Linked DNA regions of Mus musculus. The protein of the gene in region 1 interacts with the protein of each later gene in a pairwise test. Links are inferred from orthologs where the notes say so. Each region holds a gene or a part of one and is shown in the gene's direction. Other genes may lie near its edges. The genes, in order: Hsp90aa1, Keap1 and Rps3a1.

Region 1 (9,927 bases):
ACTGAACTGTGCCTGCACCAGCCGCTTATATCCCAATAATGGTCAGCCACATTGGGACGTGAGCCGGAAACAGTTTCATGCCGTTGCCTGCGGCTGCCTAAGCAGCTTCCTTCTAGCTAGGTGAAACCGGGCTGCTGCTTTGTTGTTTGGTTGGTTTGGTTTTGGAGACAGGGTTTCTCTGTGTCCTGGCTGTCCTGGAACTCACTCTGTAGACCAGGCTGGCCTCGAACTCAGAATCTACCTGCCTCTGCCTCCCAAGTGCTGAGAGTAAAGGTGTGTGCCACCACCACCTGACAAAAACAGCATTCTTAACTTTACTGTTGAAAAGATGTTTGAGACAAGCTAGTGTCAAGTAGAGCTAGAATTTAAGAGGAAATTTTAACATATATTTAAGCAGGAGGATCAGTAGCTGCTCAGGAAAAGCAAGACACACACACGCACACATACAAACTCAGGAGAGTTGTGCTCAAGTGTCAACTCAGTAGCTATATATAGGATCGCAGTGGCTTCTAGAGTTATGTTTCAAAGGGGTGCTGAAGAACTTAGATGAGACCCTAGGGTGGGCCCTGGGGTGCACTGAATAAGATGACAACTAAGAGCCATAGGCCACCAAGGGGTCAAACAGAGTTAAGATGTTTTTAATCACAAGCCAAAGTTTTAGGCTAGTCTGTGAGATTCCCAGAACATTTTGAACTCACATCTAGAAAGGGCATGAGGGCAGAGATGCCTAGACATTTTAGGTTTCTGCCGTCGTAACGTGCAATTAGTGTTTAGCCTGAATGTAGGTCTGTGTGAGGGTGTGAATTCCCTAAAACTGAAGTTACAGACAGCTGTGAGCTGCTACATGGGTGCTGAGAATGGAACTCTCCTGCATGATGCTTGGGTCTTTTTTATTTTTTATTTATGTTTTAAGATTTATTTATTATATGTAAGTACACTGTAGCTGTCTTCAGACAGACCAGACGAGGGCGTCAGATCTTATTATGGATGGTTGTGAGCCATCATGTGGTTTCTGGGAATTGAACTCAGGACCTTCAGAAGAGCAGTCAGTGCTCTTAACCACTGAGCCATCTCTCCAGTCCCGATGCTTGGGTCTTAAGCATGGTTCATTTTAACTTTTTTTTTTGTTTCAGTTTATTTTTCTGTCTATGAAGAGCTGTTTGCCTGAATGAATGGCTGTGTACTGTGTACATGCAGTATGCTTGGAGTCAGACCCCTGGGACTTCCAGCTGTCATCTAGGGTGCTGGACTTGAACCCGGGTTCTCTGGAGGAGCAGCCAGGGTTCTTAACTGCTGAGTCATCTCTTCAGCCTTTCATTTTTAGCATTCTTATTTTAAATCTCTATTTACAAGGTGTTGTGTTTTATAAAAAGATAAGGAGAGGGGGGATATGTTTGGTGAAGGTGGAGTCAGATGTCAAGGTGTCAGGTATGGGGGAAGTGGTGCCTCTGCCGGCCCCTGCTGAGGCATCCTTTCTCCCTGAGGGACCAGGGGAGTTGAGAGGGTAGTAAAGACAGAGAAAGGCAAAGAGAGAGAGAGAGAGAGAGGGAGAGAGAGAGCGAGCGAGCGAGAGAGCGAGCAGAGAAGTAGAAGTCGGCCATGAGCACATGGCTAGAGAGGGGGGAGGAGAAGGGGGGAGGGGCAAGAGGACAGAGCAGGAGCAAGAAGCCAAGAGCAAGCGAGCGAGCCGCGGAGGGGCCGCAGAACAGCCCCTTTTACAGTGAGTCAGGTACCTGGCTGGCTGTAGCCAGATAACTGTGAGGCGGACCTTAGACAAAATGCTACACAAGGAATATAGTCTTTGCAGACAACCTTCACAAGCAAAGGTTGTTAATTGTTCTGAAGTTTGTGACTCTCAGTTGGTGAGGAACTTGGGTTAGACTCCGGAGTGAAGGCTCTCTCTCCTGTGCCCCTTTACGTTTCTAAGTTTCTACGCTACCTCATGTTGGTCACCCCGCCTTCCAGAAACCCTTTAAACTTGCTTCCTCTACTGGTTTCCTTTTTAGATTTTAGTTGATTGGTTGGTTGCTGGCCTGATTGATAACAGGAGACCTTAAGCCAGATCTTGGCCTTCAGTCCCAGCTACTTGGAAGGCTGAGATAGGAAGATGGAAATTCAGTCTGCCTGTGCTAAAGTTCCCTTAAAGCAAGTATTGGCAACTGAGAGCCTGTTCTGGCCCAGTGGAGGGCCTAGCTTGCCTAGTGTATCACATAGGTAGCCTTGGGTTCATTCCTGGTGTGGAGACCACAAAACCAAAACTAAAAAGCAAAAGTCCCTTCTAGGGTAGAGATCCTAACAGCTTGGAGCTTGACTTGTGGTTTTTATGCAAACAATTAAAAATCAACACCTAATAGTCCTGGCACCCAACACAAAAGGCCAGTCTTAGGGAAAAGGAGTGGCCCTGGAGAGTACAGCTGGGGACGATGATACACACCTCAACAGGAGCAGGCAGATCTATGTGAATTCAGGGCCAGCCTGCTCTGCATAGCAAGGGGTTGCAAAATGTGATCCTGTATAAAAAAAGCTAATACCTCAAAAAAGAAAACTGTTTCTACTTAATGCCCCCACTCAGTTCAGAGAGGGGGGCCAGAGGTCTTTCCTCAGCTGCTGGGAAAGGGCCTCGTTCCCTGGAGGGAGGGCGAGATGGAGATGGGTGACTTTCTTCCTCTCCCAGAGGAAATTGCCTGCTGTGTTTTTGTCCACAGAGCACATTCTTTCTTCTTTCTTCCCCCCAACTCCCCCAGACAGGGTTTCCCTGGTTGTCCTGGAACTCACCCTGTAGACCAGGCTGTCATCAAACTCAGAAATCCACCTGCCTCTGACTCCCTCCCGAGTGCTTGGATTAAAAAGGCTTATGCCACCACTGCCTGGCTTCCTCTTTCCCGGCTTCTTTTCTTTCTAAGCTTTTATTTATTATTTTATGTGTATTGGTGTTTTGCCTACATGTATGTTTGTGTGAAGGTGTCAGATATTGGAGTTATGGACAGCTGTGAGCTGCCTTGTGGGTGTTGGGAATTGAACCTGGGTCCTCTGGAAGACCAGTCCATGCTTTTAACCACTGAGCTATCTCTCCAGCCCTTTTCTTTCTAATCTTAGTAATCGTTTTGTCAGCAGGAAAAGATGCGGAAATAGGAAATACAGGGTGGGAGTAACCCAAAGGAAAGGTATGGGGAGTGAAACCGAAGCCTATATTAAAGATAAACAAACAAGGAAACTATCTTTTGGGTCACGTTAATCGCCCAAAGTAACTTCGTATGTACACCATATGAAGGTGCTTCAAAAATCAGGATAGAGTGTTTTATATGACCATTTTTTGACTGCGTGTGCCTGTGCACCATGTGTGTTCCTGGTGCCCGTGGAGGCCAGAGAGGATAGTTTATTTCCAAGAACTGTAGTAACTGGTGGTTGTGAGCTGCCTTAACGTGCGTGTTTGGCACCACTAACTGCTCCCAGCCATCTCTCTAGTCCTTTACACTTATTTTCACACTGTGCGAGTGTGTGTGTGTATGGGCACGTGGGAGACACAGCGCTGAAGGCTAGCTTTTTTTCCCACGCTCTGGGTGGCAGATATCAAACCCAAGCACCTTTACTGGAAGAGCCATCTTTCCAGCCCCAAAATTACAGTAAATTAAGGTAGCACAAATTTGATACAAAATCCCTCACAACGCCCAATTTGAGGGTCATAGCTTTTGGTCAAAGAGAAATCCCCAAGCACTCTGGACGGATTTGTAAGACCCACCGTGTAAGGTCTCTCAGTAAGCCCACTGTAAGGCTTCAGAACACACTCCAGCGGGGTCAGCCCTGAAATTCAGACTACGCAACCAGAACCCCAGTCCGGGAGGCGCCCCACCCATCAAGGTGGAAGCCAGGGGGGGGGCGGGACTCGCCTCCTGCGGGGTCCGCGTTCCCAAAGGGAGCCCGAAGGGGGACCTTTTGCCTGCAAGGACCTAAAGCGCCGCAGAGGACCGCGAGGTTCACACAACACGCGCGCGTTCCCATGGGGACGTCCCTTTTACAGAGCGCCGGGGAAAAGAAGCCTTAGACCACAGGGCTCACATGGAGGCTTCAGGCGCATGCGCTGGCCGGCCCGTCCGCGCGCGCGCGTGCGGCCCGGGAAGGCGCCCGGCCCGCCGAGCGTTCCGGACTGCGCATGTGCAGAGCACCTGGCTGTGGAGGAGGGGCTTGCGTTCGTTCTCCGCGCGGGTTCGGCGCGCTCCAGGTGGAGGGGCGGGGCCCGTCCATTGCGCAGGCGCGGGCGCGCGGCCGAGGCGACGGTTGGGGAGGGTTCTTCCGGAAGGTTCCGGAGGCTTCTGGAAAGAAGCGCCGCGCGCTGGGCGGGCCCGCCTCTATATAAGGCCGGCGCAGGGGGCGGCGCGCCAGTTGCTTCAGTGTCCTGGTGCGGAGCGTCACGTCTCGTGCGTGTTCATTCAGCCACGGTGAGTGATGGCGCAGGCGGACTTAGCGGGGGCTTGGGGAGCAGGGCCGTAGGTTGCTGGCGCCGCGGCGGCAGCGGGGCCACCATCCGAGTTCCCTCAGCCCGCGGAGGTGGGCGGCCATGGCTTCCGACCCTAGGCCCCAGGCGGGCCTCATATCTACGCCCCAGGCCGGGGATGCGGCAATGGCCGCCGAGGAGGAGCGGTGGCGGCGGCGAGGCGGGCGCGGGGCGAGCGAAGCGAGGGTTGGGCTGTCGCCGGTGCCGCCGAGGCGCGGGCGGGCGAGGGAGGCGCCATAGCGGCGGGTTGGGGGAGGGTGGCCGTTAGGAACGGCGTGCGTGGAGCCGCCCGGGTCCGAACGTCCTCCCGGAGGCGCGCACATGCGCTTCGTAATTACCGCATTCTGAAATGAGGTCATCCCTTTGTCATCCACCCCCCGCCCCGTCGCCCTTTTCTATTTCGTCCCTTTCTTAGTCCAAAATAGAGTCGGTAAGAGACCTCTATAGAGGAGGGGCGGTCGTTAGCACGCCTGCAGCCATTCTGTGAGGCTTTAGAGTCGTCCTCTGTGTTCCAGATGCCTGAGGAAACCCAGACCCAAGACCAACCAATGGAGGAGGAGGAGGTCGAGACCTTTGCCTTTCAGGCAGAAATTGCCCAGTTAATGTCCTTGATCATCAATACCTTCTACTCGAACAAAGAGATCTTTCTGAGGGAGCTCATCTCCAATTCATCGGACGTGAGTATACCACTTGGAGGATTGGACGTTGCTTTCCCTGAAAATTTCACCTTGGGGTTTGCGCTTGACGGTTTTTTCATTTTTAATCTTTTCTTAATAGGCTCTGGATAAAATCCGTTACGAGAGCCTGACGGACCCCAGTAAACTGGACTCGGGGAAGGAGCTGCACATCAATCTCATTCCCAGCAAACAGGACCGAACCCTGACCATTGTGGATACCGGGATTGGAATGACCAAGGCCGACTTGATCAATAACCTTGGCACCATTGCCAAGTCGGGCACCAAAGCCTTCATGGAGGCTTTGCAGGCTGGTGCAGATATCTCTATGATTGGCCAGTTTGGTGTTGGTTTTTACTCTGCCTATTTGGTTGCTGAGAAAGTGACTGTCATCACGAAGCATAACGACGATGAGCAGTATGCCTGGGAGTCCTCAGCTGGGGGATCCTTCACAGTGAGGACTGACACAGGTAGGCATAGGCCAAAAGGAATGTATTCAATTGTAGGGGGTGTCTGGTTAACTTCAGTAAGTGCTTGAGAGGGTTAACTTGGAGAGTTGAAGAGTTAAAGAGCAGTCTGGCATACATAGCCTTAGTGCTAAGTCCTGAGCTTTTCAACAAAATTGTTAATCTAAAGGGAGCTTCAGGACCTGGGCTAGGAAATAGGAAAAATGTATGGCTGTTTGCTCAGTTGTACATCTTGGGCAAGGAAGTTAAAGCTTTGGAGACCTTTGCATTTGTGGGGAAGGTTAGCTGCTAGGAAACCTCCAGCAAGCATGGAGGCTTTGAATAGTAACCATTGCCCTTTTCTTTTCCAGGTGAACCAATGGGTCGTGGAACAAAGGTTATCTTGCATCTGAAAGAAGACCAAACAGAGTATTTGGAGGAAAGGAGAATAAAGGAGATCGTGAAGAAGCATTCTCAGTTCATTGGCTATCCCATTACTCTCTTTGTAAGTTACCTACAGGGTAAATTTCATATAATTGAGATAACTGAGGCTGTTTAGAGTTCTGTGAACCTGGTGTTGTACTAGACAGATTAGCCTGTTTGGAAAGGTGGTATCTGAAGAGGATTGTGGAGAAATTAGAGAAACTACTGATGAGAGGCTTCTTGGTTGTACACATTTCTGAGATCTGTCCTAGTTGTATAAATTTATAATGAAGTGATTTGCCTTTCAAGGTGGAGAAGGAACGAGATAAGGAAGTCAGTGATGATGAGGCTGAAGAAAAGGAAGAGAAAGAGGAAGAGAAAGAAAAAGAAGAAAAGGAGTCTGATGATAAACCTGAAATAGAAGATGTTGGCTCTGATGAAGAAGAGGAGGAGAAGAAGGATGGTGACAAGAAGAAAAAGAAGAAGATAAAGGAAAAGTACATTGATCAAGAAGAACTCAACAAAACAAAGCCGATTTGGACGAGAAATCCTGATGACATCACTAATGAGGAATATGGAGAGTTCTACAAGAGCTTAACTAACGATTGGGAAGAACACTTGGCAGTAAAGGTGAGTGACTTAAAAGCAGGTTTTCAGGTTGACTTTTTAAACCTCTATACTCACCTATAGAAAAGCTTCGAAGTGTAACTTAGCCCAGTAGAGAAAGCCAATTCATTTTGTCCATGGCATTAAAAGGTTGTTTCATTTTATTGCAGCATTTTTCTGTTGAAGGACAATTAGAATTCCGGGCCCTTCTTTTTGTCCCAAGACGCGCTCCTTTTGATCTGTTTGAAAACAGAAAGAAAAAGAACAACATCAAGTTGTATGTTCGCAGAGTTTTTATCATGGATAACTGTGAGGAATTAATCCCTGAGTATCTGAGTAAGTAGGGATGGGAAGAATCGGCACTGTTGACAGACAGAAAATCCCATTCGTTGGGTCTGTGTTGGTGGGGGACTGAGGATGTAACCTAGTGGAGACGGGGTTTGCCTAACTTGTTTGAGGCTCTGGGCTCAGTCCCCTTGGAAAAAAGCCAAAAAGATTCCTTAGGTTTCAGAATGATTAAATAGGTGTCTTTGTTTTTCCCCAGATTTCATTAGAGGGGTAGTGGATTCTGAGGATCTCCCTCTAAATATTTCCCGTGAAATGCTGCAACAAAGTAAAATTCTGAAAGTTATCAGAAAGAATTTGGTCAAGAAATGCTTAGAACTATTTACTGAACTAGCAGAAGATAAAGAGAACTACAAAAAGTTTTATGAGCAGTTCTCAAAAAATATAAAGGTTGGTGGTACATTTTCTTGTTACTGGCAGTTTTCCAAACTAACTTGATTGGGGGAGGGGTCCTCACACACTTGCTTCTGCCTCCCAAGTGTGGGGATTAAAGGCTAATGCTTCATAAATGGCTTTCCTGTGCTTGTGCTTCAGCTTGGAATTCACGAGGACTCTCAGAATCGGAAGAAGCTTTCAGAGCTGTTGCGGTACTACACATCTGCTTCTGGGGACGAGATGGTTTCTCTGAAGGACTACTGTACCAGAATGAAGGAAAACCAGAAGCACATCTATTTTATCACAGGTAATGGTCAAGTAAACAGGTGTTTTCTCTACCTGTTGGACAGCACTTAAGGAGGCAAGAATGTCCAGCCTGTACCTAAGGGAAAGCTGAATACATGAAACCATTTCTAAAAGTAACTTAACAATATAAATATATATATTGTCTCAGGTGAGACCAAGGACCAGGTTGCTAACTCCGCCTTTGTGGAACGTCTCCGAAAGCATGGCTTAGAAGTAATTTATATGATTGAGCCCATTGATGAGTATTGTGTGCAACAGCTGAAGGAATTTGAGGGCAAGACCTTGGTGTCTGTTACCAAAGAAGGACTGGAACTTCCAGAAGATGAAGAGGAAAAGAAGAAACAGGAAGAGAAAAAGACAAAATTTGAGAACCTCTGCAAAATTATGAAAGATATTTTGGAGAAGAAGGTTGAAAAGGTATGTGAATGGTTACACATCACTCGTAGTCAGTTTGGTCCTTTTATCTGAGTTTTGACTAAATCACTGCTAATGCCTACAGTTTCAAATAATCATTTCTTTCTGGTAAGTTCTTCTATGGCCTAAGCCATCACTTAGTTTTTGTTTTAATTTTAGGTGGTTGTGTCAAACCGACTGGTGACATCCCCGTGCTGTATTGTCACAAGCACATATGGGTGGACAGCAAACATGGAGAGAATCATGAAAGCTCAAGCCCTCAGAGACAACTCAACAATGGGTTACATGGCAGCAAAGAAACACCTGGAGATAAATCCTGATCACTCCATTATTGAAACCTTAAGGCAAAAGGCAGAGGCTGACAAGAATGACAAATCTGTGAAGGATCTGGTCATCTTGCTGTATGAAACTGCACTCCTATCTTCTGGCTTCAGTCTGGAAGATCCCCAGACCCATGCTAACAGGATCTACAGGATGATCAAGCTTGGTCTAGGTAAATTACAGGCTACCTGTAACTAACATAAGGGAAAGAAACCTGTTGCAACTCCCCTTTAATCCTAGTGCTGGGGTCAGGGTGTAAAGGGACAGATAGGCCCTTTGAGTTTTAGGCCAGTGTGGCCTACAGAGTTCCAGGAAAACCAAAGCTATATATACTAACCCTGGCTTTAAAAACAAAAAAACGAAGTTGACTTTTGTAGCTATTGAAACAATTGGATTATTGCTGTTATGGAAGCCTCAGCTAAAGGGTTTGAATGAAATGAACAGTGACCTTTGTGTTTGAGGATGGCTTTGGGCTGGTTCTGCCTCTGTCCCAGTGCTGGGGTTTATAGGCACATACTTGGCTTGCCCCCTATGAATAAAGTTTCCTTTCAGGGGATTGGATGGGGTGTTAATGTCTAAAGCAAGTCTCCGCCTCCCTTAGCGGACATTAACTGTAACATTTATTTCCAAAACAAGGTATTGATGAGGATGATCCTACTGTGGATGACACCAGTGCTGCTGTAACTGAAGAAATGCCTCCCCTGGAAGGAGATGACGACACATCACGCATGGAAGAAGTAGACTAAGTCACCAGAACTATGTGTTTGCTTACCTTCATTCCTTCTGATAATATATTTTCCATGATTTTTGTTTATTTTTGTTAACATTTAAAACATCTGTGTGGCATGAAAACTAAGGGGAAGATAAAATTTCTACATGTGATACTGTGATACTATAGGTTTAACTCAAGAGGTTGATAGAGCGTTTGTTATAAGACGTAACGTAACCTACTGTTCATGTTTGCTCTGGTCTGAAGTGTTTAGCTGTTGAGCTGGATTCCTTAGGAGACCAAATTAAGATGGCTTAAATTACATCTTAAAATTTTCATTTCCTGTAGTTAATTCTGCATGTATTAGTCTTAGAAGTAAACACAAGTTAAAACAACCTGACAGGAATTCCCCAAGTGGCTTGTTTTCCAAAGTCCCGAGAACAACCCTAAGTTTCCTAGGTCTTGTAACTCAGCAAGGCTTGTGAATGGAAATAACAGTGCCCAATCACATTCTGCTTTAAAAGATAAATACAGAGGAGATAAAAAGAAGTGTGGAATGTGTCTTTTCTTTGCGCACCCCCACACACACACACACATTTGATCCATAAAAATTACACTGGTCCAGAGACTTAATCTTGTGTGTCCTATATGTGGACATCCTCTCTTCCCCAGCACACTCAGACCTTCTTGCTAGAGTGGGAATATAAAACAGCTGGTCTGTGGGGTTCTGGGATTTTGTCCTAGCACCTCTTAGATAAAGGCATGTTTGAAGACTTGGCTGGGTAGTTTGAGGCCAGCCTGAGTTCCATGAAATCC
Region 2 (9,857 bases), on another chromosome or scaffold:
TTCTGAGTGCTAATTTGGGCTGCGCAGGGTGGGGTGGGGGTGGGGGTGGTCCTGGATATGCCTTTACTTTACAGCAACATCATTTCAGGCCAGCCTGGGCTACATAGTGAGACTGTGTCTTTTTGTTTTTTGTTTTTGTTTTTGTTTTTCGAGACAGGGTTTCTCTGTGTAGCCCTGGCTGTCCTGGAACTCACTCTGTAGACCAGGCTGGCCTCGAACTCAGAAATCCGCCTGCCTCTGCCTCCCGAGTGCTGGGATTAAAGGCATGCGCCACCATGCCCAGCTTGAGACTGTGTCTTAAAAGCCTTTATCTACTTATGTATTTTGTGCCTGTGTATATGTACGGGTACCCATTGGGCACAGCAGGAGTGCAGGCGGAGGTCAAAGGACAGCTTTCCTCAGTCGGTTTTTTCCTTCCAGCACAGGGATCCTAAGGATCCAACTCAGGCTGTCATTCTTGCCAGCAAACACCTTTATCCCCCGAATATCCTTTGCCCTACCATCTCACCCCCACCCCTGTTTGCTTTGCTTTGCTTTCTCACTAATTATGACAAACATCTACCGATTCCCTACGGTGAGAAGCTCTTTTAGACTGTTCATCAGCCTTCCCCAACCAGATTCAGAACAGCATCACCTGACTCGCCCATCCTGCAAATAGTGCCCCCTCATGCCTGCTCCCTGCTCCTACCCGCTTCCCCCCATACCCCCCACAGACAGCATAGGTTTAAACTGTTCATTAAACTTGTATGTCAACTTCGGCCATGTTCATCTGGTTCATATTCATGCGAGGTCCTTGACACCAATGACAAGGTTGCTCTGTGCCGTGGACAGGTTCCTGGACTCAGATGGTTCTGCACGTCGAGGCTGCTCCTGTGCACTCCAGGTTCAGCATGAGCACACACCCCGCAGCCCCCACACTGAGACAACGCTTCTTGTACCCAGACTGACTTTAAATATACTACGAAGCCAAAAAAACGACTTTATACTTGTGAATTTTGTTTCCTGTGAGCAAAGGTGTGCTCTGCCACACGTGGCTTATGCTGTGTGGCGACAAAACCCAGTCCCAGCCCTCAACCTCCATTTGGTAGATGAAGAAACTAACAGATTTCCCTTGCCCCAGGGTCTTAGTACGGCTTTACCCTTGGGACCCCCATGCAGGAGGGGCTTGCCTGGTATTCGCTGCTCTTAGTCTAAGATTCCCTTGAAGTCTCTGGGTGTGGGCGCCACCTTGCAGTAGCTCTGAGAATTGCCTGGGTTCTGCTTTTAGCCGCTGGTTAAGGAACAGCGCGTCCCTTGAGGTAATTCTGGGAACTGCAAGCAGAGTGAAAGCAGGTGGTGAAGGGGATGCGCTCAGGTTGGGATTGCGGGCCAACTTGCATAAAATGAATTTTTTCCCCAGAAGTTCGCGAAAAGCTAGCAGGGGTGAGGGGTGGGGATACAGTCCGGCTGGCTCCCAGAGACCCTCCCTCAGATCTCATATCTTTCCTGGTGTGTTGGCTTGGTGGTTTAACAGTAGGGAACTTAGAGATTCTGATATTAAATTTAAAAAGTACTCAGTTCCCTATTTAAATACCAAATTTAAAAAGCACTGTTGGGATTTGTAGAGACCTTCCAGACATATTCTGTGGGAAAATGACCTGAGATGGGTTTTTTGGTTGTTGTTTTTTGCCATTTTGATTTTGGAAGAGGGTCTCACTATGTAAGGCAGGCTGTACCACTTTGTAGCCAAGGACGTCCTTCACTTTTCTGATCCTTCTCCTCCAGCTTCCTGGGTGCTGGCATTACAAGTGTGTCCCAATTTCAGCTGTCCTGCATTTTTGTTGTTGTTTTGTTTAAATTATTAAGTTAATAGAACAAAGTAAGGTTTTACCATGCAGTCCAGGCTGGCCTGGAACTTGCTATGAGCCCTGGCTTGTCTCAAATTCACAGAGATCCACCTGTCTCTGCTTCTTCTAAAATTAAGGGTATACGACACCATGCCTGGCTTTCCTTGCCTCCCTGACCCCAGACAGAGTCTCACTGTGTAGTCTGGGCTGTTCTCAAACATTCAACCCTCTGCTTCAGACTCCCGTGGTAAATTTCTTTTGAAACTATCCTTTTCTTTGATATTTATTCATTTGTTTTCTGATATAAGGTCTTGCTAGGTCGAGCAGGCTTACTGTGAACTGGAGGTAATCCTCCTGCTTCAGTGCCCTGGTGGCTGGGATTACAGATGTGTCCCCTCAATATTCTTATTTTTAGATTTATTTCCTTTTATGTACACGAGTACTTTGCTTGCCTGTATGTCTGCGCACCACCTACCTGCATGGTGCCCACAGAGGTCAGAAGACAGCATGGGGTCCCCTTGAACTGGAGCTATGGATGGCTGTGAGGCATCGTGGCAGTGGACTCCAGGTCCTCTGCAAAAGCAACACGTGTTCTAAACCACCTTTCCTGGTTTTCCGAGACAGGGTTTCTCTGTGTAGCCTGGCTGTCCTGGAACTCACTGGGTAGACCAGGCTGGCCTCTGCCTCCCAAGTGCTGGGATTAAAGGCGTGCGCCACCACGCCTGGCTTAACTTTATGTTTCAAAGTTAATTTATGTGTGTATGTGGAGGTTATCGGACAACAACCTGAAGGAGGAAGCTTTCTACTACTATGTGAGTACCAGAGGTGGAACTTAGGTGGCCAGAATTGGCCAGACGCTCCTTTACCCACTGAGCCATCTTGATAGTTCAAGAAAATAACTTTCTCTCATAAATGCCATATGCAGCAAATAAGTATCTCTTACCATTAAAAATATATAAAGATGTTACGAGAAATACAAAGAGGCAGCTCTGGGCATTCCAACACTCCAACACCCTCAGATGAATGCCATACCTCTCCTCATGAAAACATGAACACACAGAGAGGAGAGTGTGTCTCTGGAGCACTCGAGCTGCACTTTGCAGGCTCCACATAGGGGAAGAGAATCAGTTTCTGCCAGCCGTCCCCGACCTCAACACAAGCACACACACAAATTAATGTACACAAAGCCCAGAGTGATATCCCAGCCTTTAACCACAGCACACGAAGGAGGCAGAGGCAGAGGCAGGAAGGTTTCTGTGTGTTCAAGGCCAGCCAGGGCTATGTAATGAGGCCTGTCTCAAAAAGAAGTTATAAGGCTGGAGTGATGGCTCAGCAGTTAAGAGTACTTGCTGCTCCTGCAGTGGTCCAGGGTTCAATTCCCCCATTTGCATGGTAGCTAACAACCACCTGTAACTTTAGGGGACACTGCACAGCCCACGTTGCACAGACATACATATACAGGCAAAACACCCACACGCACAAAGTAAAATACAAATTGAAATAAAAACATTAAAAAGTTATTTTACAAGAAGATAAATATCGCAACCAGGTAGATGGGTCTAGTTGGACCGTGCAGGCTGTGGGAGGGTCCGCCGGTGCAGGTTCAGCTGGAGGCGTACCGGACAGCCTAACCCGGAGGCAGCCTCCTAGGGCCGCCCAGACCCACGCCCTGCTCCCTCCGCCCGGCACCTGCAGGAAGGGCTGGAACTGCCTCTGCGTACCCGCCGCCCGTTTCCGCCCTCCCGCTCCTCCCACGCGTGCCGCCCGGGACCCCGCAGCACCGCTGCCCCGATCCGAGCCCTCCACCCCCACTCCGGTCCCCCTCCTCTCTTCCCGGAAGCGCGGCGCGTGGCGGCCCGGCGGCGCGGATTGGACGCGTGGCACCTACAGAGACACCCGGGGGGGTGGGACGGAGGTGAGCGAGCGCCCGCGGAGGATGCGGTGGGGAGCCAGCTCCGGGAGCTGCCCGCGGTCGCGCGTGGGGCCGTGCACGCGGTGGGGGGAAGCGCGTGCCCTTCTCCAAGCGCGCACCCCGCCGCCGAGCCCGTGAGCCCTCGTAGGGTGGTGGCCGCGGCGAGTAGAGGTAGGGGTCGCCCGCGGCCGGCGCCCCGGGACTCTTATTGTGACAGGGTGGCGCGCTGTGCTTAGTCACCGTGACCCGCGCGGCGGAGGCGGAGGCAGAGCGCGGCCATGGCGGGGTGAGTGAGCCGCTCCAGGCCGCGGCCCGGGACCAGGCCCTGCGGGCTCTCCCGGCGTCAGGGCTGCGCCTCCGAGCGGTGGGGAGGCCGCTGGAGCAGGCGCCGGGTACCGGGCGGCCGCTGCACAGCCCCCTGCGCAATGCCAGGCCCGAGCTCCGGCAGTGTGGTCACGCGTGACAGTCGCTCACTAGCTGGGGCCCCTGGAGCATTTCATCCCCCCCCTCCCCACGGTGATCTAATAGACAAAACACGCGGAGTCGCGACTCCAGGCTGAGCCCAGAACCTGGGGAGCCAGACGCAGACCCTCTCTTGTCTCCCCACATCTTCTTTGAAAGCATAATTCCTCCCCTGGCCCCAGGTCTCCAAGGGTCTCCTGAATCCCTCCCCGTGGGTGTTCCAGATGCTGCACACTCTCTTGCCCCAGGAGCTTGGTGTTCGCTTAGTGTTTCCTATACAGACCTTGCTTTATTTTTAGGCCTTTTCTGTCTTCTCGCTGTGTCTCTGGAGCTCAGAGCAGTCCCAAATACATAAATGGCAGGCTCTGTAAATGTTGGTGTGGTGTTGAAAGGAATCTGACATGTTGGACGAAGGCAAGGGGAGGGAAGGATGGCTGGAACAGTGAAGAGGTTGGAAAGCGGGTGTGGAGTTTTACAGGCCATTGACGATTTGGGGTTTCCATTCTTGGGCTCGGTGAAAGGTGTTGGGTGATTCTGAGCAGGAAAAGGAACATGATATGCCCTGAAGGCCCGCGAGTTGAGAAGTTAGTTTGAATGGAGCCGGCTGTGTCCAGTTTACTTGGCTTGGCAAAATCTGCACTTAGATATCATTGCTTAGTCTTGCAAAAAAAGAAGCCTGGCTGGACATGGTGGCACATACTGTAATCCCAGCACTCGGGAGGAGCCAGCTTTGGTTGCATAGTGAGTTGGAAGCCAGCCTAGGCTATGTAAGACCCTGTCTCAAATAAAATAAAATAAAGTGGCAGGGTCTGGTCTAACCCAGCCTCTGTTCCCAGCGCTGTGCTCTTCCCTCCCTCCAGGCCCCTAACGGCTAGCAGAGGAACTGTGTCTTGTCATCAGGAACCCCATGCAGCCCGAACCCAAGCTTAGCGGGGCTCCCCGCAGCAGCCAGTTCCTGCCCCTGTGGTCAAAGTGCCCCGAGGGGGCCGGGGACGCAGTGATGTATGCCTCCACGGAGTGCAAGGCAGAGGTGACGCCCTCGCAGGACGGTAACCGAACCTTCAGCTACACACTAGAGGATCACACCAAGCAGGCTTTTGGCGTCATGAACGAGCTTCGCCTGAGCCAGCAACTCTGTGACGTGACCCTGCAGGTCAAATATGAGGACATCCCAGCTGCCCAATTCATGGCTCACAAAGTGGTGCTGGCCTCCTCCAGCCCAGTCTTTAAAGCCATGTTCACCAACGGGCTTCGGGAGCAGGGCATGGAGGTGGTGTCCATCGAAGGCATCCACCCTAAGGTCATGGAAAGGCTTATTGAGTTCGCCTACACGGCCTCCATCTCCGTGGGCGAGAAGTGTGTCCTGCACGTGATGAACGGGGCGGTCATGTACCAGATTGACAGCGTGGTTCGAGCCTGCAGCGACTTCCTCGTGCAGCAGCTGGACCCCAGCAACGCCATTGGCATCGCCAACTTCGCGGAGCAGATCGGCTGCACTGAACTGCACCAGCGTGCCCGGGAGTATATCTACATGCACTTCGGGGAGGTGAGTGAAGCCGGGCTTTGGGCTCAGAAGTGGGATAGGCCAGCGTGGCGTTCTCCCCTGCGACAGGCTGGAGGAAAACTGTTGGGTGTTTTCTTTTTCCTTCCTTCTTTTCTCCCATAGGGTCTCATGTAGTCCAGGCTGGCCCTAATCTGGTTGGGTATCTGAGGATGACTTTAAATTCCTGATTCCTGTCTCAGTCTGTCGAGTACTGTAGTTACAGACGTTCGCCCTCCCAATACTTAATAGAATGGAGGCCAGCAGTGCCCCGGAACTTGATTTTACTTTTGTTTTTAAATCTTTTTTAAAAAATTATTTGCCTTTAGTTTCTGTGGATTGGCGTTTTGTCTGAATGTTTGTCTGTGTGTGAGGTGTCAGACCTTGGAGTTACAGACAGTTGTGAGCTGCCATGTGGGTGCTGGGATTTGAACTCGAGTCTTCTGGAAGAGGCCAGTAGTACCCTCAACTGTGAGCACCTGTGGTCTTATTTTTTGACAGTATTCTTCTTCTTCTTCTTCTTCTTCTTCTTCTTATTATTATTATTATTATTATTTTGGTTTTGGTTTTTCAAGGCAGGATTTCTCTGTGTAGCCCTGGCTGTCCTGGAACTCACTCCGTAGACCAGGCTGGCCTCGAACTCAGAAATTAGCCTGCCTCTGCCTCCCAAGTGCTGGGATGAAAGGCGTGCGCCACCACACCTGGCTTGACAGTCTTCTTTAGCTGAAGCTTTTTTGTTTTATTTATTTTTGTTTTTCAGGACAGGGTAACAGTCCTGTCTGTCATGGACCTCAATGTGTAGACCAGCCTGGCCTTGAACTAACAGAGATCTTCCTGCCTTTGGGAGTAAAGGCCGCATGTGCCACCACACCTGGCTATTGAAGTTGCTTTTTGTTTTGTTTTGTTTTAAGTCCTGTCTTTGCTGTCACTTTCTGAGTGCTGAGTAACACCAAACTCTGAAGAAGTTAAAAAAAAAAAAAAGATTATATTTATTTGTGTGTGTATACATGTACTGATCTTGTGTGCAAGTCGGAGGACAAATTGCAGGAGGTGGCTCTCGCTACCTTATATACGTTTCTAGGTTAAACTCAGGTAGGCCTGGCAGAAAAGTGCCTTTACCCACAAAGCCACATTGCTGGCCCAAAAACTCAGATTCTGAGCCCCTAATCCAAATACAGAGAGCCCTTAGGAATAGGTAAAGATGTGCCCTCCCAGTGCCTCAGCAGCCTGATCTCCCTGGGGTTAAAAGTTGTGATGGCCAGCCTGAGCTACACAGCGAGACTCTGTCTAAAAAAAGTGGTGTGTGTGTGTGTGTGTGTGGTGGTGGTGGCGGCACTCAGGAGGCAGAGGCAGAGGCAGGCAGATCTCTGAGTTCATGGCTAGCCTGATCTACCAAGGGAATTCCAAGATAGCCAGGGCTACAGAGAGAAACCCTGTCTTGATCTCCTCCAGAGCAGGGCAAAGTGTGATGAGCAGGCAGGCACCAGCACCCGCCAGCCTCACCCATGCAGGCTCCAGCTTTGCTTGGCTTTCCCTGGGTTCACTTGGTATTGCTTTCATTTTCGTTTCTCAGTGCAGGAAGTCTGCAAGAGAAAGTAATGGGACAGTGCTGGGGAAAGCCTTGCTCTTGGGTGGCAGTGACTAGAAAAGTCCCCTGGACACGACTGCATTCTGAATATCACCAACTCTGAAGTGCACCCAAGGCTTTTGAACACCATGTGCCGTCCACACCTGACCTCACCAGATGGGTGGCAGTGACCGCACAGGCACACTGTGCATAGGGCATACCATCTTCAGAGGGCCCATGTGCTGCTGGATTGCTAGGACACTTTCCCAGCATGCGTGAAGCCCTGGGTTCCATGCCCACCTCACATAAACCAAGTGTGGCTGTGCACACCTTTAATCCCAGCACTGGGTAGGCAAAGGCAGGCAGATCTGTGAGGCCAGCCTGCTCTACATAAAGTTCCAGGCCAGTTACACACAGACAAACACACACACACACACATACACACACACAGAGAGAGAGCCTTGAAGCTGTGTAAGGTCAATATGGACCAGCATAAAAGTAGTTTGTTTATTTATTTAGATTTTTGAGATAGCAGGTTGTCATGGCCCTTGGCTTTTGTCTGAAACTCAAGATTCTCACATGTCAGGTTCCCAAGTGCTGAGACTTGACATGGGCCTTGATGGCTCGAGTGAAGTTGTTTATACCATACTCTTATTCCTTAGGTGTCTCATCATTTGTGTAAAATATTCCTACATCTGAAAAAAAACAAGTGCCAAGCTGTAAACTGCCAGTCATTTTATGTTTTATTTTTATTAATCTAAAAATTGTATTGTATTGTATTGATTTAGGGGGCAATGTGTGTGCCACAGTTCATGTGGAGGTCAGAAGACAACTTGCAGGAGTTGATTCTTCCAGCATATGAGTCCTGGGGTTAAATAAACAAACAAACAAATAAACAAATTAAGAACCCAGTGCCTTTCTGAGCTAGTAAAGGCACTCACTGCCAAGCCAGAAGACCAGTCCCAGGAAGGTGAGACCCCCCCCCCATCAGACATGAGTACATTCACACACATACACAATAAGCCAATAAGTAAATGTAATTAAAAACTATGTAGAACAGGTGGCCTGGAACTCACAGACATCTTCCTCTCCCTTCCAAGTGAATATTAGTCCAATGCTGGGATTAAAGGCCAGACTAGGTTCAATTGTTTATTTTGATATAAGATCTTACTATGTTGTCCTAGCTGGTCTGGAACTGGCTTATGGGGACCAATCTGGCCTTGAATTCAGACATCCTCTTGCCTCTGCCTCCCCTGATATGGGGGATTATAGGAGTGTGCCACTACACCTAGCTATATATATATTTTTTTAAAAAAATTAAAACTAAAATCAATACAGGAGCCTAAAGAGTCCACAGTGTGTGGCCTGTGTGACCCCCGGTGTATGGGTGCTCGGCCTGGATGGAGGGCTTCCCTTCTCACCTGAGCTCCCTGCAGGTGGCCAAGCAGGAGGAGTTCTTCAACCTGTCACACTGCCAGCTGGCCACGCTCATCAGCCGGGATGATCTGAACGTACGCTGCGAGTCCGAGGTGTTCCACGCGTGCATCGACTGGGTCAAATACGACTGCCCGCAGCGGCGCTTCTACGTGCAGGCACTGCTGCGGGCCGTGCGCTGCCATGCGCTCACGCCGCGCTTCCTGCAGACGCAGCTGCAGAAGTGTGAGATCCTGCAGGCCGACGCGCGCTGCAAGGACTACCTGGTGCAGATATTCCAGGAGCTCACGCTGCACAAGCCCACGCAGGCAGTGCCCTGCCGCGCGCCCAAAGTGGGCCGCCTCATCTACACAGCGGGCGGTTACTTCCGACAGTCGCTCAGCTACCTGGAGGCCTACAACCCGAGCAATGGCTCCTGGCTGCGCCTGGCCGATCTACAGGTGCCGCGCAGTGGGCTGGCAGGCTGCGTGGTGGGTGGGCTGCTATACGCTGTGGGCGGCCGCAACAACTCTCCGGATGGCAACACTGACTCCAGCGCCCTGGACTGCTACAACCCCATGACCAACCAGTGGTCGCCCTGTGCCTCTATGAGCGTGCCACGCAACCGCATCGGGGTGGGGGTCATAGATGGCCACATCTACGCAGTCGGGGGTTCCCACGGCTGCATCCACCACAGCAGCGTGGAGAGGTGAGCACCGGGGGCCCAAAGAGACGGTACCTGTTCTTGTCCCTGCCTTCATATGAGGTTGAGCGGCTGGGATGTTCATTCTCAGTGTCCAGAGTTGGGAAGTACTGGAGGGGGCTGTCCCAAACCTACAGGAACCACCGCTGCACACTGGGGGTAGTAGGAATTACTCTAATACGTGAATTATATTGTGCAATTTATAATTACTTTAAAAGGTATCATCTGAACGGGGATGTAGTTCAGTGGTAGTGCTCTGGTATCTTTCTTTTTAAAAAGATTTTATTTATGTGTATAAGTACACTGTAGCAGTCTTCAGACACACCAGAAGAGGGCGGCAGATCTCATTATGGGTGGTTGTGAGCCACCATGTGTTTGCTGGGATTTGAACTCAGGACCTTCCGTTGGTACTCTTAACCACTGAGCCATCTCTC
Region 3 (9,675 bases), on another chromosome or scaffold:
TTGCCAACATGGCCAAGAGCCTGAGATTAGACAGGTCATGGGCTTAGGGGAAAACTGGAACTGCTAAAGGAACATAGCAATAAAATGACCCCCAATGACATAATTCCATTTCTGTAGGTCAGTGCCCCACTCAGCCTACATCAGAGAAGCTCCTTCTTAAAGTAACTGGGAATTAGCAAAGAGATTCACAATTGGACAAGGTGTGGAGAATGAGAGACGACTGTGGAGCACTCAGTCCTAGATGTCTCCATCCCCTCAAGGGTAAGGGAACTGTGTGGAGAGGAAGCAAAGTGCTAAGAGCCAGAGCTGATGGCTGACTAAAGGAAGCAGCATCTTCCAGACACAGCAGGATTGGTGCACATATGAGAAACCACAGATTTGTTTGTTGCAGATGCACAGGGCCTGCACAGGTTCAAGCCTGATAAAGTCCTAACACTGAGAGGGAAAGGCAGACATGGGGTCTGCTTTGTGGTTTTTTAAATTTATTTTTATTTTTTAGTTTTTTTTTTTTTTTTGGTTTTTCGAGACAGGGTTTCTCTTTATAGTCCTGGCTGTCCTGGAACTCACTTTGTAGACCAGGCTGGCCTCGAACTCAGAAATCCTCCTGCCTTTGCCTCCCGAGTGCTGGGATTAAAGGCGTGCGTCACCACGCCCGGCTATTTTTAGTTTTTTAAAGACAGGAGAAAACAGAACATAAAGTTGGACGGGTAGGGAGGCAGAAGATCTGGGAGGGATTCAGAGAGGGAAAAACATGATCAAAATATGTTGGGCAGTGGTGGCACATGCCTTTAATCCCAGCACTTGGGAGGCAGAGGCAGGTGGGTTCGAGGCCAGCCTGGTCTACAGAGTGAGTTCCAGAATAGCCAGGGCTATACAGAGAAACCCTGTCTCGGAAAACCAAATAAACAAACAAAAACAACTCAAGAAACAAACAAAATATGTAGCGTAATTCTTTTCAATAAAATAATAAAGTCAGATTCTCACTATATAGGCCTGACTGGCTTGGAATTCACTATGTAGACCAGGCTAGCCTCTAACTCATAGATCCAATTGTCTCTGCCTCCTGAGTGCTGGGATTAAGGGTGATACAGGGTCTCATGTCTCATTTGAGGCTCTGTTGGCCTCAAACTCCCTATGTGTTACCTTGAACTCTGATCCTCTGCACTTCCTGTGTGTTACACATGCCGCTGCCACCTCCTCTTCCTCCTCCTCCTCCTTTCCTCTTTTCTCAAATAGCGGTTCTCTGTGTAGCCCTGGTTGTCCTGGAACTCTGTAGACCAGCCTGGCCTGAAACTGATCCACCTGCCTCTGCTTCCTGAGTGCTGGGATAAAGGCAAGCACTACTACTGTTCAGGCGTGCATTTCTACACCCAGTTCATGTGGTGCTAGGCTTTGTGTCAGACGAGCATCTAGGAACTGGGTTACATCCCTAGCCCTTTGTTTCTGTCTTCTGAATTGTAGTAAGAAAAATAAGATCTATTTTCAGATTACCTTTTGACGTGGGGAGGAAGGGAGTTTGGTGAACTGTGCTGAAGATCAAGTCAAGGCCTTCCTAACTGTAAGACAAATGATCTCTATCACTTACTTACATTGCAGGCCTCATCTTAACGATCTCTGAGGATACACTTGGGTAGTTTTAAATAGAGTCACACAGTAAGGACTGGAGACATGACAGACAACTGAGATTTGTGGAGTTACTGAGGACTTTTTGGGTGGGACTAAAGGGTCAGGGAGATTGGCTCAGAGGGCAGGGGTAGGAGGACTAGGAGGGATCTTAAGAGTTAAAGGCTTGCCGAATGGAAGCTATGCTGTAGCTGTGAGGGTTTGGTGGGACTTAATGACTACCAAGAAGAGCCTGAGGGCAAAGAAAAGCCCCGAGGGCCCAGCATCCAAGGTGTCTGCCAGGCGTGACTAGTCACAGACTGGGGAGTTCAAGTGCTTTTAACATGACCGATCGGAACAAAGATGGCTTCATCAACAGAGAAAAGTTTCATCATATGCTTCCTTGTTGGAGAAAAAGTCCAGCTGATGAGCATCTTGACTGATGCTATGATTAGTGAGGCTTCGGGTTCCATCGAATTCTGACAATGTCTTCTGAGAAGTTAAACAGGACCCATTACGAAGTTTGGTACCCTTCAATGGGGTGACTCGATGGAGGAGCAGGAATGGTGTGAGAGATCCATTTATAGGACAGGGTGGATGAGCTGCAGAGAAAGGCACCTGTTGACAGAAAGGGAAACTTGATTACACTGGACTCATACACATCCTAAAGAGAGAGAGGCAAACGACAGAGAGGATGGAGGAGAGCCTCACATTCAGCTAGAAGCCAGAATATGACGAGACTTCTAGCTTCTTGGGAACCTGAGGTGGGAGGATCCTGTAAGATCTGGGAGAAGGCGAAGCCACATACAGAAACTCCATCTCAAAATAACAATAATAGCAACAGTTGTAACCAAATACTCCTAGCTACTACTTGGGGTGTTTATATTATAACACACACACACACACACACACACACACACACACACACACACACATTTACACATTTCTTTATGGTCAAGGACGATGAACCAAGTTACCTTGGTCACACCAATATACACTGTCACAGAGCAACATTTCCAGTCCTAGGTCTTCAGAGAAAGGCCTCACTGTGTAGCCCAGGCTACCCTCAGAGACTCTTGTCTTGGCCTTCTGAATGCTAGGATTACAGGGGTGTGCCATCACCCCTGGCTCCACAAGTTCCTTTCAACTAAACAGGTTTTGCTGTTCTTGTTTTAGCCTCAGACAGCTGGGTACATGTTATCTTTATAATAGGCATTTCTGTCATTTCCCAAATATAGGGTAACATGACGGTAGCCCTCCTCTCAAATCAGAGTCAATTTTGTTAAAGAAAGTTTTCAATTTGTTTCTGAACCCTAATCAATCTTTATATCTGAAGGGGAAAAAAAGCATTTAAAAACTTCTTGGGAGCCTGGTGAAGAGGGAGTTGGTTCTGATTTGGTCACCATTTTTTTTGTTTTTGGCCTTGGCTAGAGAGGATGTTAGAGTTCTGCCCTTGAGGTAGCTGGTGACATGTCACCAGGCTGTGATCTTCTGAACTAGATGTGGCAGAGCATGTCAGCAATGCCGGCACCCAGGAGGCGGAGGCTTGAGGAAGGTGAATTTGAGGTCAGCCCGAACAACACAGGAGGAATCTTGTTTTGAAAAATACTAACATAAGAATGGGGAAGCCATTTTTTATGGTGGGGGTTTGGGGATGTGGAGGGGTGGAGATAGAGGTAGAGAAATGGCTTAGTGGTTAAGAGTAGTAGTGACTGCTCTTCTAGAGGACCCAGGTTCAATTCCCAGGACCCACATGATAGCTCACAACTGTCTGTAACTCCAGTTCCAGGGGATCTGGGACTTTCACACAGACAAACATGCAGGCAAACCATATAAAATAAAAATAAAGACATCACTTTTAAAAGTGGGGAAGGGGTGGTTTGCATTAAGAAAATTGGTGGGCAGTTAGGTACAACAATTGATCACGACTGTGCCTTTTTGGGGTGCTAGAGATGGAATCCGTTGTCTCAGGCATGCTGAGGCTTTTCCAGGACACCACTCTAGTCCCCACTCCACTAAAAACCCAAACACTCCTCCTATCCCAGAAAAAACAAAACCAACCAACCAAAAACCCAGGGCTGTCGAGATGGCTCAGCTGGTAAAGGCACCTGCAGAGACCTCTCAGGCAGTGAGGAGGCAGGGCACATTGTATGGCAGCGCTGCGGGCCAGTGTGCGCAGGATGGCAGCCTCTCCCTGAGCCTTATACCCACATAGTGGAAGAAGAGAACCAACTCTTGAGAATAGGTCTCTGACCTCCACACAGAGACCTGTGAGGCACAGGACCACACACATAGTCATACAAAAAAAAAATGTGATTACAAATGTGTAAGAGTTACATATGTATATATGTGTGTGTGTGTATATATATATTCTCTCCTCTCCCCTTCCCAGTCTGTCTTGCTAGGTAGTTCAGGCTAGTACTCACCATATACTCCAGGCTCTCCTCCAACTTGCTGTCCTCCTGCCTCCAGAGCTCTGGGATTGCACACACGGCTAAGCCTCTTTTTTCATGAAAGTTCACAACACAGCCAAGCCCAAGAGTAGTCAGCACGTGAACAGCGTGCCCGAAGTCATGCTTATTGAATTACACTAATGTTTTGAAATAGATCACATGAATATTCCCGTTTTACACCCGAGGGAACTGATGGCTAAAGAGGTCAGAAGGCTAAGTACTGTTGGAATCACCATTTGAACATGGATTTGCTATCTCTGATTCAAAGCCCATGGTCTAGGGAAGAAACGTACTCTCAAAATTAGAAACAGAGAGTTCCCACCCTCGGGGCAACGGAAACCACAAGAAACCTGAAGTGGGTTGAGCATCTCTGACAATCTGCAGGCTCCCATGCACAGCCTAGCCAGCCCGCGGCCCGCTGCGCGACCTCCCGACACACGAGGGCGCTGTCGCAGCACGGCGGGAAACGAGCCGCCAGCTAGTGTCGCGAGATTCTTAAAGCCGGAAGGGCGAAAGAGCAAGGGTCACGTAGACGGCGCTCCCCGCCCGGCTCGCGTTAAGTTCTCGCGCGAGTTGTACTTCCGCCCTTTTGGCTCTCCGGTCGGCACCATGGCGGTCGGCAAGAACAAGCGCCTGACGAAAGGTGGCAAGAAGGGAGCTAAGAAGAAAGTGTGAGTGGCGGATCGCGCGGGTCCCCGGCCGTTGGGCTCCGCAGGAGTTGGTGGGCGGGTTCTGGGGTGCGGCGTGGGGCGGATGGTGAGGATGCGGGGTGGATTGCGCGGCGGTGCTGCGCTGCGCGGCTGGCGGGTGCGTCCCGGGCGGCCGCCTCTCCGCCACCCGGCCGGGTGTCGCGCGCCGCGTGTGATCTCCGCCCTGCGTCTCTAGCAGTCGCTCGCGTGTCGCGCGCGAACTGTGGGCTCCTGGGTTGCTGGAAGTCCGTGGCACTTTTTAACACCGCTCTACGTCAGTCACTCTGGCTGTCCATGTCGGGACCCCATGTCAACTTGTGTGCTGGGCTCTCGTGGGACCGACCTGGAGACCCGGGACACTTGTTTAGCAGCAGTTTGTGCTGTTGCGGACCAGTCACTGTCACAGGTCCCTGAGGTTCCAGGGCAGTGTGTATATAGTACTGCCTGTGTGATGGAGGAGTGGGGAAGGCATGGCTTCGAACTTACTGCTTTGTGCACTGGCAGACCAGCCGGCCTCGCAGACGTTCACCCCACGGGGAGGACGTCCGTCGTGTTAAGTGCAGGCCGATTGCAAGATCGTGCCTGGGAAACTGTTAACAGAAGTCTGAAGGATAAGAAGCGTTTAAAAGTGGTCGGGAGTGTTGTTACAATTTACAGAGAAACTTGAGGTTATTTTTCTCCCATCCAGGGTCGATCCATTTTCTAAGAAAGACTGGTACGATGTGAAAGCTCCAGCCATGTTCAATATTAGGAACATCGGGAAGACACTAGTCACGAGGACTCAAGGAACCAGTGAGTACTGTGGGCCCCTTTTGCTTTGTTCCTAAGCTGTGGCATGTGCATATTAACCGGCGCCTTGGTCAACTCTGATGGGGCGCTGGATTGAAATGTCAGCCCAGTGGTTGGAGGGCCTGGCATTGGGAGTGCTTGGTCTTAGTACAGATGTGGCAGCAATGAAGTGTTTGTACAGCTGTCCAAGAGAACGTTTAGGTGTTGGCAGTAAGCCACTGGTGTGAAGGTGGGTTTGGTTAACAAGTTAACAGGGTTTGTGGTTCTTTTTTAGAAATTGCCTCTGATGGCCTCAAGGGTCGTGTGTTTGAAGTGAGCCTTGCTGATCTACAGAATGATGAAGTTGCGTTTAGAAAATTCAAGCTAATCACTGAGGACGTTCAGGGCAAAAACTGTCTGACTAACTTCCATGGTATGGATCTTACCCGGGACAAAATGTGCTCCATGGTCAAGAAGTGGCAGGTGAGACCAAAAGCTGCGAGTGTGAGTGCTGTGGTGTGGGTGTGCAGATGTGTCATGGGTGTGTTGGTTGGTAGGTAGTATCAAAACATGGAATGGAGAAGTTGGTTTCATTTCATTTGAGTATCACTGTTAATTCTTGAGTGCTGGAGGTAGAATCCAGGGCTTTCCACATGCTGGGACATCAGTCCTAACATTGAGCTGCATCCTTTAACTTGGTATTGCTTGTTACGGCCACATTAGGTGAGTTGGGCAGCTTTGCCAGTTTGGGGACTGTTCTAGGGTTAACATCGTTAGAGTTGATAGAGAAAAGGTGCTCTATCTAGCTGACTCAGTTGTCTGACAGTGGAGTGTGGCTAGAGTCAGATTCGGTCCCCTTCTGTCCTTGAAAGTAGTAACAAGCTTTGATAGCTTAATTTCTTCAACATCAGCCCCTGGGGTTGTGAAGATGAAATGACATGTAGGGAAATGGGCTTAGCATGGTGACCAGCAAAGAAGGCTGATTCAAGGGAAAGCTGTTCAGATGTATCCTGATATTGACATTGTATATGGGAATGAGTGATGACAAGATGTTTCGGTCCCAAATGAAGCCTACTGATTACCGTAACATTTATTGCTGACATTCCCTTATACTTTATGTAATTTTGGAAATAATAGGCTATTTAGTACATACTGATGTATATACTCCTTTGCAGTGAAGTGGATGCCAGGATTTTGTTTCCGGGCAGTTCTGCTGGTCTCAAATTCTTGAGTGATAGGATTGAAGGCATGTACCACCGCTCACGGCAAATATTGGGTATATTTGAGAACTTAATATTTGTAAAATTCAAAGAAATCAGATCGCTTTGCCACAAAAATGGTCCTCTAAAAGATGGTAGTATGGTCTAATTACAGATTTTGTTTAGCTTTGGATCTTAGCTTTGGAATTATGTTTTTAAGTTCTTTGTGTAACTTAGGAATAAAAAGGCATTTAGAAAATACAGTTTTACAGCAGAACTTCTCCACTGCCCTCTTTCAAGAAAGGATCTTCAGGTCTGGAGGGATGGCTCAGCAGTTAAAAGCACTGACTGCTTTTCCAGAGGTCCTGAGTTCAATTTCCAGGAACCACATGGTGGCTCAAAACCATCTGTAATGGGATCTCATGCCCTCTTATGGTTTATCTAAAGACAGCTACAGTGTACTCACATAAAATAAATTTTTTAAAATAAAAAGGGTCTCCAACCTGTTGTGATCTGGTACTTGCTATGTAGACCTTTGTATACTGAGTGCAAGGATTGCAGACATCTGTCATGTACAGCTTATTGTGTGTTTGGTTTTTTTGGGCTCAAATTCCTAAAAGATCCAACATTTTTGTGTGTCCTGCTTGGAGTACTGAAACTAAAGCCGCCACACACAACCTATTTTTCCTTTCTAACAGGATCTTTCTTTTCTTCCTTTTGTGATTTTTTTTTTTTTTTTTTTTTTTTTTTTTGAGACCGGGTTTCTGTGTGTATCCCTGGTTGTCCTGGAACTCACTTTGTAGACCAGGCTAGCCTCGAACTCAGAAATCCGCCTGCCTCTGCTTCCTAAGTGCTGGGATTAAAGGTGTGCGCCACCACACCCGGCTATTTTTCCTTTTTAAAAGATAATATTCAGTTTCATTCTGTCTATACTATCTTAGAATTTAACTTACAAAGCTTTTATGTTTGAGGGATGTTGACATAAATGTAAAGGGTATGGGTCCAGTTGATTGTTTTAAAGGGAGGGCAACAATGATTTTGGGGTATCATTTTAATTTCACTTTAAGGAAGTGCCATAAACGGTATATTTGTCACGTGGGCTTGACATTTCCAAGGTTTTACATTAGCACTTAAAATGATTTAGGCCGTGAAAAACATAAAAGGGAGGGGAATCTCTGAGTTCAAGGCTAACCAGGGCTATGCTGTGAGAACCTGTCTCAGAAAACAGCAAACCCCAAAACCATTATGAGCTGACAGTATCCTTTTCTCACTAGACCATGATCGAAGCTCACGTTGATGTCAAGACGACCGATGGGTATTTGCTCCGACTTTTCTGTGTTGGCTTCACTAAGAAACGCAACAACCAGATAAGAAAGACATCCTATGCGCAGCACCAGCAAGTCCGCCAGATCCGGAAGAAGATGATGGAAATCATGACCCGAGAGGTGCAGACTAATGACTTGAAGGAAGTAGTTAATAAACTGTAAGTGCGTTTCTTTTCTCTCCTCTAAAAATGTTCAGAATGCCTGTTAAATCATCCTTCTGTTAAAGAAGAGGTGGAGTTGGACCTCAGCTTAAGCACTTCTAACATTGAAGTTATCTTACAGTGGACAGTGAAAATTAGACTTAATACACAATGAATAACAACTTTAATAATGCATGGGAACATGTGATGAGAAACTGTTTCGGTCCCAGTTGATGGCCACTGATAACATTACATTTTTCTGATGTTCCCATGCAGTATACAGGTGGTTAAGCGTGTTAGACAAAAAAGCATAAGGAAGACTTAAACGTTGATTTTGTTGCTAGGTGTTAAATTTAGATACTAAGATTGTTTTTTTGCCATTTAAAGAAAATTGCTTCTTGTATGAGAGACTTTGGTGGGTTTTTTGTTTGCGTGTCTTTTAAAAAAAGTTTATTGTTCTTGCAGGATTCCAGACAGCATTGGGAAAGACATAGAAAAGGCTTGCCAGTCCATTTATCCTCTCCATGACGTCTTTGTTAGAAAAGTAAAAATGCTGAAGAAACCCAAGTTTGAATGTAAGTGGGAAATCATGTTTCATGAGATAGAAGTTTGTGGAACCAAGTACGTGGTTTTAGAAATGACTGGTTAACATTCTTGATGGGTGTATGTGTATGAGTGATTTGCCTCTGTGTGTGTGTGTGTGTGTGTGTGTGTGTGTGTGTGTGTACACACGTTCCTGGAGACGTTGGTGTTGAGGGGCTGCGGCTGCAGATGGTTACGAGCCACCTGTGGGTGCTGGGTGCTCTGCAAGGACAAGTGCCACCTCTTCACCACTGAGCCAGCCTCTGCATGAAGGTTTTCAGGGCAAAGTAACGGTCGCTTCCTTCGGGCTGTAGTTTAGGTTCTGATACTTGTTTCTAACAGGATCCTCTTCCTTTTCCTTTCAGTGGGCAAGCTCATGGAGCTGCATGGGGAAGGCGGCAGCTCTGGCAAAGCAGCTGGAGACGAGACGGGTGCTAAGGTTGAGCGAGCTGACGGATATGAACCGCCAGTCCAAGAATCAGTGTAAAATCCAGATTTTTAATAGTGACAAATAAAAAGTCCTATTTGTGATCGTTTGCTTCTGTCCATTGATTTGAAACACGAGAGCCTGGTGAATCAGGTGTTGATTTTAGTGGGTTTTATCCATTAAGTTAGAAGCCAGGTTAGTAATGAGACAGGGTGGGGCTCTGTCTGGCCTCCAACAGATTTGCATATATCTGGTTTTAAGGCGTGTGCCACAACACCCTGAAAATAGAAACCAGCATACTCCCAAAGTTCTTTTCTCCCTTTAAATAACCACACTGCTCAGTAGCAGAGTTAGTTATAAAGTAGCAGCAACAAAGATGGTTTTATCATGGCAAAAAGGGTCACAGCATTAGGGTGGTTAGGACCACTGGGTTAGACTATATATACTTGGTGAACCAGAAGACTGAAAACTGAAAATCATAAGATTTTAT

Evidence for each region.
Region 2: the proteins of Hsp90aa1 (region 1) and Keap1 interact in a two-hybrid assay, tested with the Homo sapiens proteins (2 studies listed by BioGRID). The link is inferred for Mus musculus from reciprocal best matches to the Homo sapiens genes HSP90AA1 and KEAP1.
Region 3: the proteins of Hsp90aa1 (region 1) and Rps3a1 interact in binary tests that used the Homo sapiens proteins (3 or more experiments, as listed by UniProt). The link is inferred for Mus musculus from reciprocal best matches to the Homo sapiens genes HSP90AA1 and RPS3A.

The regions. Positions count from the first base shown.
Region 1 is NC_000078.6:110,690,761-110,700,687, reverse strand, and holds Hsp90aa1 (heat shock protein HSP 90-alpha), read left to right. Parts: upstream 1-4,292; 5' UTR 4,293-4,436; intron 4,437-5,007; coding exon 5,008-5,169; intron 5,170-5,269; coding exon 5,270-5,636; intron 5,637-5,983; coding exon 5,984-6,117; intron 6,118-6,344; coding exon 6,345-6,665; intron 6,666-6,811; coding exon 6,812-6,977; intron 6,978-7,185; coding exon 7,186-7,376; intron 7,377-7,520; coding exon 7,521-7,668; intron 7,669-7,815; coding exon 7,816-8,084; intron 8,085-8,240; coding exon 8,241-8,574; intron 8,575-9,038; coding exon 9,039-9,148; 3' UTR 9,149-9,652; downstream 9,653-9,927. UniProt on the Homo sapiens protein: Molecular chaperone that promotes the maturation, structural maintenance and proper regulation of specific target proteins involved for instance in cell cycle control and signal transduction.
Region 2 is NC_000075.6:21,232,960-21,242,816, reverse strand, and holds the start of Keap1 (kelch-like ECH-associated protein 1), read left to right. Parts: upstream 1-3,484; 5' UTR 3,485-5,107; coding exon 5,108-5,746; intron 5,747-8,743; coding exon 8,744-9,429; intron 9,430-9,857. UniProt on the Homo sapiens protein: Substrate-specific adapter of a BCR (BTB-CUL3-RBX1) E3 ubiquitin ligase complex that regulates the response to oxidative stress by targeting NFE2L2/NRF2 for ubiquitination.
Region 3 is NC_000069.6:86,137,559-86,147,233, reverse strand, and holds Rps3a1 (40S ribosomal protein S3a), read left to right. Parts: upstream 1-4,565; 5' UTR 4,566-4,664; coding exon 4,665-4,726; intron 4,727-5,432; coding exon 5,433-5,536; intron 5,537-5,807; coding exon 5,808-5,995; intron 5,996-6,546; exon of another isoform or gene 6,547-6,617; intron 6,618-7,985; coding exon 7,986-8,194; intron 8,195-8,375; exon of another isoform or gene 8,376-8,443; intron 8,444-8,641; coding exon 8,642-8,751; intron 8,752-9,123; coding exon 9,124-9,245; 3' UTR 9,246-9,294; downstream 9,295-9,675.